2 linked regions of the Oryza sativa Japonica Group genome follow. The protein of the gene in region 2 interacts with the protein of the main gene of each other region in a pairwise test. Links are inferred from orthologs where the notes say so. Each region holds a gene or a part of one and is shown on either strand. Other genes may lie near its edges. The genes, in order: protein BTR1 and uncharacterized protein.

The links.
Region 1: the proteins of uncharacterized protein (region 2) and protein BTR1 interact in a two-hybrid assay, tested with the Arabidopsis thaliana proteins (2 studies listed by BioGRID). The link is inferred for Oryza sativa Japonica Group from reciprocal best matches to the Arabidopsis thaliana genes AT3G21215 and BTR1L.

The regions. Positions count from the first base shown.
Region 1 is NC_089036.1:35,794,448-35,798,949, reverse strand, and holds the start of protein BTR1, read right to left. Parts: upstream 2,819-4,502; 5' UTR 2,663-2,818; coding exon 2,560-2,662; intron 1,081-2,559; coding exon 842-1,080; intron 757-841; coding exon 656-756; intron 356-655; coding exon 162-355; intron 1-161. Other genes in the region: ubiquitin carboxyl-terminal hydrolase 2, read right to left, coding at 4,054-4,502.
Region 2 is NC_089042.1:9,178,245-9,182,603, reverse strand, and holds the start of uncharacterized protein, read right to left. Parts: upstream 3,076-4,359; 5' UTR 2,989-3,075; coding exon 2,629-2,988; intron 2,532-2,628; coding exon 2,456-2,531; intron 1,746-2,455; coding exon 1,613-1,745; intron 1,522-1,612; coding exon 1,410-1,521; intron 781-1,409; coding exon 689-780; intron 578-688; coding exon 508-577; intron 430-507; coding exon 347-429; intron 239-346; coding exon 157-238; 3' UTR 1-156.

The sequences.
Region 1 (4,502 bases), on a different chromosome or scaffold from region 2:
CTCATGGCTGCCAAATGGTACGAGTGACCAAGCATGTTCATTTGTGACCTATACAATGCAGTATATGAATTCCAGAAAAGAAATGCAGTCCGAGAATTAAGGCACCCCATAATAAGAAAAGTAGCCGTTTGACACCAAATCAAATATTGAAATTTGTTTACCTGCATATGGAAATGGGGAACTCAGATTAGGTGGGTAGTGAACGTCCTCCGATAACTTGCTTAATATCAAATATATTGCACGCATCTGATGGTCCAAGGGTCCTGTGACAGTAACGAGTCTATCATGCAAACCAACAAAATTGTTATCCTGTGGTGAAATCTTGATTCCAGCATGTGAGTCTTCAATGAATGACCTGATGAGAAAACAAGCATGTCAACTCACATTCAAAGAAACATAAACCAACACAAAACAATACAAATGAAACAACAAATACTGCTTGCGTACAATTGACAAGAGAGCATGCAATAACTTGGGTGCAGTTAAGTCAAAGATGAGTGCATTAGGAAAATAACCATGCATTTCCTCATTCGGTTCAGACACGCTTCATGGTATACATACATTATAACCAACTAAGAAAATGAAGAAGCGCAATGGGAATAAGAATAAAAATAAGATTTCAGAAACCAGAAACAAATTTATCAATGGTACATACTTGATTGTTGACCCTCCTTTACCAATGATTCCACCACAAGAACTGTTAGGAACTACAAGTCTAACTTTAGGTCTAGCTTCAGCTTCATTGCTTTCTTCCCCCTGGGAAAGTAACCATAGAATACCAATCATCAAATAAAGTAACATGGCCCTATGATACAACTATTTGCGGAATAAAATAGTTTACCTCAGCTAAAAGCTTCTCGAGAATCAGCTCCATGGCCTTTATTACTTCATCAAACAGACCAGAAACCATGATAATTCTGTCATTTGTACCAGGGAAGAACTCATGGCTACGCGATAGCTGAATACGAGCCCCAGACTGGGACTGAAATTCATTAATGGTTGATCCACCCTTGCCAATAATGCATCCTGCTGCCGTGTTTGATACCAGAAACCTCAGATGGGTTGGCTTCTCCTTGTCATCTGTGGAGAATGATCACTTGGAAATTCAGAATTACTAGCAATAAAGGAGAGGGCCAAAAACTGTGCATGCCATTATTTGTTTAGGCACAAAATTGTTTTTTTTAACTCAAGCAACAAAAGTGGTCCATGATGCATAGTAAAAACAGCTAATGGTCCAACTGGGGCACTTAACTATACATGTTCTGTAGAACCACTACTGACTGAATTTTGGTTTCCAGTCAGTGTAGTTTAGAAGTTTGGTATATACAGTTGTGTCATGTATGCTTGTTGGGAACAATAACAAGAGGGTCATTCACATTATGACCGAATTATATTTTGGCATGGTCTATCATATTCTCCTTGAACATATAACAAGTTAAAAAACATGAATTAGCAACAAGCATAATGGTAGGAATATGCTACGAACAGAGTGAAAGCAGCAATTGACAGGACTGAGTTAAATACCTTTCCACTCAAGGTGGATCAGGAGAACTTTATATTTCTTATATTTTGATGTAACTAATGAACCATTAGAACAACCAACATATAATGATAACACTTTAAAGGCAATAAGTGTGTCAACCAAAGACCCGAGGAAACCATAATGGACAAGATTAATGATTGGCATATGCCAGAAAGGTGAGATGTGCTTGCTAAATAGAGTGTGCATGACTTCGCATTTCCTGTAAGCATCCTCTTGTTCCCCAATTGCAATTTCCCCGAAAAAATATATTTACAGGCCAACAACCAACAAAGTGAAACAACATCCAATATCAGTTATCACAATGTTAAGTAAATGGCTGGGTGTGTTCAGACTACTGTGGGATAGACAATCAAGATGTAGGGTTGAATTCCTAGAATACTTATTATATCTACGTGTCGGTTCCACTGCGAAAAGTAGAAAACCCTGAACATCAACAGAGTGACAGACCCAACCACGGCATCATCCAGCAAGTCATCGCTAGTAAGAGTACAGATAGCGATGCATATCGGTATACGTCTCATGTGGTCAACTCAACTCTACAATTAAATGATGGTACTCATCAAATTGCAACTCTTATGTGTAAGCTCATTGTATATGATCACACATGCAGCTGTTACTAACCGCGCTTGGACATGTTAATAAACTTGTGATGCATACACAGAAACGCATCGGATGAACTCATCGTCAACATCAACCGGTGCCAAATCACCCCAGCGGACAAGATGAACATGAAATCAACTACCACTGAAACAACTGATCGTTGCATCTCCCCTCTCCATTGCACAAGCGCACACAAACGCAGAACACGCCCAAATCAGCAGCGGCCTAGTGTTATCCATGTGACCACCATATTTGCCGCCCGTGGTTGCAGATCTCGATCTCAGAGCGGAACACGGAGGCCTGGATCTCGCGGATCCAGACCAAACCGCGCGCGAGGGCGCACGTACGCGCGCACCACGTTGAGAGAGATCGATATCGAGAGTGAGATGGGGGGATGGGAGGCGCGAGCGGGTTACCTTCGGAGGAGGCCTGCTGCTGCGGGGGCGGGGGCGAGGAGCGGGGGGCGCGCTTGGGGGCGGACTCCGGCGAGGAGGCGTAGGGGGAGCCCGGGGCTTCCATGGCGGCGGCGGCGGAGGGCGGAGGCGGAGGGGGGGGGGAGTGGTGGGGGTGGGGGTGGGGGTGGAGGCGTGGAGGGGGGAGAGAGGCAAAAAAACACTAGTAGATCGCGATGGGCCTACGGCATGGAACCAACAACAACGACAACAAATGCGCCTCTCGCTTCTTTCTCCCTCCTCCCCTTTTTATGAGTTTTTATTATCCTTCGCTTTTCTGTTTTTCGAGTTTCCATTGGTCACGTCGCAACTCGCCACTCTTTCTCAATCTCTTTTTTTTTTGTTGTTGCTTGACTTTGTATTCACAACAAAATCTAATCTAATCTGGTCTTGGTTTGAGCAAGTTTGTTTTGTAAGAATATCTGACGATGCAATCCATCCAGCTGATCTGCATAAGTATGGGATAATAGACCAAAATAAAATAGGAGTACGACACCAGCTCTAAATTTCTTCAAATCCAATGTGTATAATTTCTTTTTGTCCCCTAATTTCTTGAAATCCTGTTTCAAAATGGGTGGATAATAACCACTCTGAATGACAAAAGAGTGTGTGCAAGTGCGACAGAAAGATCACTCTGAAAGTCCCAAAGGTTTTGGTCACAATTCGGGTTTTGGTCACAATTCGTCCTTTAGCTGGTGCAACAACAGAGATGACAGCAACGTCCTAGCTATAGAGCTTAAGAGGTTGCACACCAGATCATTCATGCTCCAACAATTATGAATCTTGATGACAAGAGAAAAAAAAAACAAGTTCGAATACTGTATCATTCAAACCTGTCGTTTGCGTTAACTGTTCAACAGAAAATCAGATGTCCTATAGAAATCCCACCAGAATCAATCACATGCGCATCAGATTCATTGCCTGAATTTTCTTATCCGTTTTCTTATACTTATATCTACAAGCCAACCCAAGCAAGCGATTTCACTCAGGAAAGTCAACTCTACCAGCACTAGGCTCCAGCTCTCTCATGGTCATGGATACACTCACAGCATCTATCTAATTCAAGTAAGATTAGCAAGTGGGCATTTCCAAGACAGCATCTAGACACAAAACTTCCATCCTCCAACATGTATTTTTCTATTCGATTGCCACGACGCGAAATAAACAATGCCACCACCCTTAAGACCCAATTGACCTCTTCTACAGTTTCTATCCATCACACAAGGGCAGAAAGTCATAACAGATAATAATACAACACGGAGAAAAAGATTAAAGAGAATGTACTCTGGTTCATTAACTTAGTGATATCTCTAAGCTGCCAACAAGGTGCCGTATCTGATAGCATAACGCATTCTCAAAAAGGGAAAATGCAACAACTAACCCCAGTAACCCATGAACGTATGCTTTCCTCAAAATGAGAACCAACGAATTCGGTACAGCCATTGGTGGCACTTGGCTTCATCTTGCACTCGTGCTTGTGCTGGAAGCCTTCTGTTGTTTGGCCTTCTCAACCAATGGCTTTAGCTGCTTCTTTTCCGCCAGCATCTTGAGAAAGTTGAATAGAAAGGGAATGTAGTTGTGCTTCCTCCTGATGTTCTCCGTCCTCCACTTCTTGAACTTCTCTTCTTCCATGATAATCTTCTCGCTGACAGTCTCAATGGCTGATGTCACCTCTGCAAGTTCGCTGTTTAAGGACTCTGCTGCTGAGGACTCATTCATCTCCTGCAAAAGCTGGTCCCTTCTCTTCTCCAGCTCCTTCAGCTCAGCAGTATATACATCCTTCCTATTCTTAATGATGGCCATAAGGTTAAACCTAATCTCGCTCTGGGAATAGCGTTCAATTCTTTTTTGTATAACTGGCTGCACCATCCTTAGCCAATCAAGATCATCAGGCCCACCAGAACACT
Region 2 (4,359 bases):
ATGATCATGTCCAAGAAACTCCATGTAAAGAAGATGATCATGGCCAGAAATTCAACCTAATGGAGATGGTGATGCCACATGACAGAAACAAGCATTTAGAAGAAAATATGCAGATGATAATTTAGTAGGATGCTAAAGTTCAAGTTACATCCCCTCTCAGTTTGAAGGAGCTCCATTTAGAGAGCCCCCAATTCCACCAACAGAATCCTTCCTTCGGCCATAGGGATTTTTCGAAAATGTTCAAGACGTTAAGGACTTACAAACCATATAAAATTAGCAAAGGAAACATAAATATCTAATGTTAATGTAAGTGATTATTTTATTTCATTGAGCAAATAAAGGATATTGAATTCGCATTCCACCACGACCAGAGCTAGGAATAACAGCACCCTGTAGATTATGGTGTACAGCTGATGCAGCATTCACATCCTAAAATTTAACAAACAGTGAGATGCATAAGAATGTAGGATAAGGTTAAGATAAAATTACAATATTGTAAGTACCTACCTCAAACTCAATGAAACAAACAGTGTTCCTGTCTTGGCGCAACACCTTCATTTGTTTATAACCAGGTTGCCTGAAAGGAAAATGAATAATAATCAGTTAGAACTGTTGTATCTACTTTCTAGAACCATACCATGCAACACCACTGCACACAATAGACAACGATATTGGCGTCGATTCTTACACGCTGAAGAGGCTCCGCAATTCCTCTTCAATAACAGTTTCTCCAAGATTACCAATGAAAAGGGTATTACAGGGAGGGTTATCCTTTGTATTCTGAAAAAGAGAAATCAAAATATACCATTAATACTAGATTTCAGAAAACTGAACAGTATAAAGCAGTCAAAATATTGACCCCAAACAATGTATTCTGCATCAGCAATGCAGCAACCACCTCTTATTTTTAATAGCATTACAATTTATTAACCAAAATCATGACAAGCATTATGTTCAATGAAAAACACCACAAGCATCTTTGCAAACAAGACTTTATGTACTCACACATTTGTGCACATATTACCTGGTTATTTTTTAGGGAGGAACTTGAGAAGTTATAGAGGATAGGTAAAGGCAACAGAGTCTAGTTTATTTTTATCAATGTTCATAGTTCAATTATATTCAAGTGGATGAAAAAAAGGAAGAGGTTGTCTTTGAATGATGTTATTCAAGTGGTTTCGTCACAGGTTGTAAAGTGCAGGGGCCATAGATTTAGACTTCTCTATATAAGCAAATATGAATTCATCATATTATATCTTACATAACAGTTAATACAAAGAAATAGAGATGATGTGCACACAACGGAGCTATCCAATGACCTGTGTCAAATTTAATCAGGAAATAATATTTAACTTTCCTAAGATTAAGCTCAAAACCAAGGTGAGATATATAACATAACTCCGAAGTACCTGAACAGGAGCATAGGCAGTTGGACCTGGTACGGGAGAAGGTGAAGTCATTGCCACAGGAGGCACTGAATAGGCAGCATAATGATTGTAAGGTGGAGGTGCCGCGATATAACTGAATGATACACAAAAGAAAAAAAGGATTATAGAGCTCCATAGCTGTGCATAATTAGTTGAAAGAAAGAGCAACAAATTAAGAAATTTACCCTGGAGTTCCCCACATGGAAACAGCTGGTGGGGGTGGATGATATGGGGGAGCAGCATAAGGAGAATGAGTATAATCTCCACCAGTCCGCAAGCGTTTACTTTGGTCCATAGCATTTGCATCGTTTCCCACACCTAACATAAGCCTTAATTAATTCAGCGCATAATGGATATGCATAACAGTGTAGTAACCATTTCATGGAGTAAATGGAAATAAACAACAGCCCAATATAAGGAGTACGTGGAACATTATTGTCACCAGGTTTCTTCATCAAGTTATAGTAATTTTATCACAATCACTAATTCTATAATCATTAGTTCATCTTTATTTCATTTGCATATTTCCTAAAGCTTATATGAAATGCTACAATAACATTTTCAAAGATTAAAATTTGGCAACAGAAAGCTTTGGTAAAACAATAATAGCCTTGAATGTGCTTATCTCACAACACAGAACTAAATCCTGTAAAAGTTTTATGAAGCCATATGAAAACCACCAATTCACCTACACATTGGTTAAATGTCCTGACCTGCATAGGTTTACCAAACAGTTTAAAGGAAGACATCAAAGCTCCAATAGCAGGCCACCTTTCCCATATCGAATTATTCTAATATTACACATAAGCTTCAGAAAATATGCAACAAGAAATGAACTGCATATTCATTGCCATTCTCTGCCAAGCTTCATAATAAATGATAAAAGGTGAAAGCTTCCATGATACAAAGCAGTATGCGCAAACATGGCTACATTTATATGGACCAATTCCATCCAACCAAAAATTTATCAGGTTGATCTGCACAACATGACAGCGAAAGCGAGCGCACATCGACAAAGGGGAACGCACCTCTCTTGACGAAGAGGTTCTTCTTGGCCATCTCGGTGTGCAGCGCCGTCTTGGTCTCCGCATCGAAGATGAGATCCTGCAGAGAGAAACTCGTGTCACACCACCATCCACCCAAACCCTATAACCAACCCCGCCATGGAGACCCCAAAGAGAGAGAGAAAAAACCCTAGCACCTGCAGCGCGGCCTTGGCGGCGATGGCGTGGTGCGCGGAGGAGAAGAGCGCGAACCCCATGGGCTGGTCGCCCTTGAAGTTGATCTGGGAGGCCTCGAACCCGGGGAGCCAGCGGAGCAGGTTGTGGAGCTCCCGCTCCTTGACGTCGGTGGGGAGCCCCGTGATGAAGATGGTGCGGACCTCGTCGGGGCGGGCGGCAGCCGCCGCCGCCGCGGCGGCGGCGGCGGCGGCTGCGGCGGCGGCGTCGGGCGCGCCTGGGACGCCCGGCACGGGGGGTGGCGGCGGGACGGCGGCGGCCGGCGCGGGCGCGCCCGCCGCCGGCGGCCACTGCTGGTGGAACGGGTGGATCGTTCCGGCCATCGGGGCGGCGGCGGCGGAGGGGAGGGGAGGAGGTGGCGCGCGGGCACAAACCCTAACCCTAGAGAGAGATTGGGTTTTGGGGGTTTCGGGGAGAGAGAGAGAGAGAGAGAGAGAGAGAGGCAGCAGCGCACGCAGATGAGATGACGAGGTGAGGTGAGGTGAGGTGCGTCCTCCGGCCCAGCCTAGCAAAGCAGCTTTCAGCTGATTTCAGGCCCTTTTGGATCGAATAAAGAACATGCAAAATTTTCTAACTTGTGAAGTAACCATCATAATATTTTTTTCACTTTGTTTGTATTTTTTAGACATTCAGTGCGAGTACGTGGAGTATTGTCCCAAAATGACACGTTAAAAAAATTCGAGTCCATGCCAAGAGTCAGGCTCAAAGTCACGTGATCCATCACGCGAGTAGGGCAGCAAGTCGTGGGACACCACTCAGCGTCCGTGTTGCCGGGGTCGTTCTCTCGTCACGTCGTGTGAGCCGTATGGTCGCGCAGTGTTTTCTTAGTAAAGTTGGGTCCATTTGAGTTTGCTTTATTGAGTTATATGTGATGTTTGGGCCTATATAGCAGCTAGGAAAACTCGTTGGTGTGTCAAGCATTGTTCCTATAAGAGTCTCCAAACATCACCTAAGATAAAACCATCTCTAAAGATACTATGTGTCCACAATGCAAGCTACACTTGTTAGGATCCATAAATAATTTGCATATCGGCCCCTAGAATTCGAATATGTTCAATTTTAATTTGCAAACGTATTTAAAGTTATCTATTCCAATCCATAAAAAAAATTACATATTACCCCTCACCCTCATCCCCTTGTACCCACACATCATTTTCCCCATTTGTCTCTCCCTCCATGCTAGTGCGCCATTGACAGAATTGTCGTTCCTTCCTCCGCTCTCCACACCGCCGACTGGATCGGCACTTCTTCGTCCAGTCCTTGAGATCGAGTGACAACTATGTAGCTCCTATTCCCACCATCGCTCCTATCCCCCTACCCGGGTCCTCTCCCTCCTATCCTCTTTCCCTGCCTAGCGCCCCTCCTCTCCTTCATGGCTACACTTCAAGCCAGGGGGCAGCGATGGTCTCGAGCATGGCTGAGGACCGCCCGGCGATGGAGATGGTGTGGGCGAAGGGGAGAGTAAGGACAATGGGGACACACCGGCATCGTTGTCCCAAAATGACACGTTAAAAAAATTCGAGTCCATGCCGAGAGTCGGGCTCAAAGTCACGTGATCCATGACGCGAGTAGGGCAGCAAGCCGTGGGACACCACTCAGCGTCCGTATTGCCGGGGTTGTTCTCTCGTCACGTCGTGTGAGCCGTATGGTCGCGCAGTGTTTTCTTAGTAAAGTTGGGTCCATTTGAGTTTGCT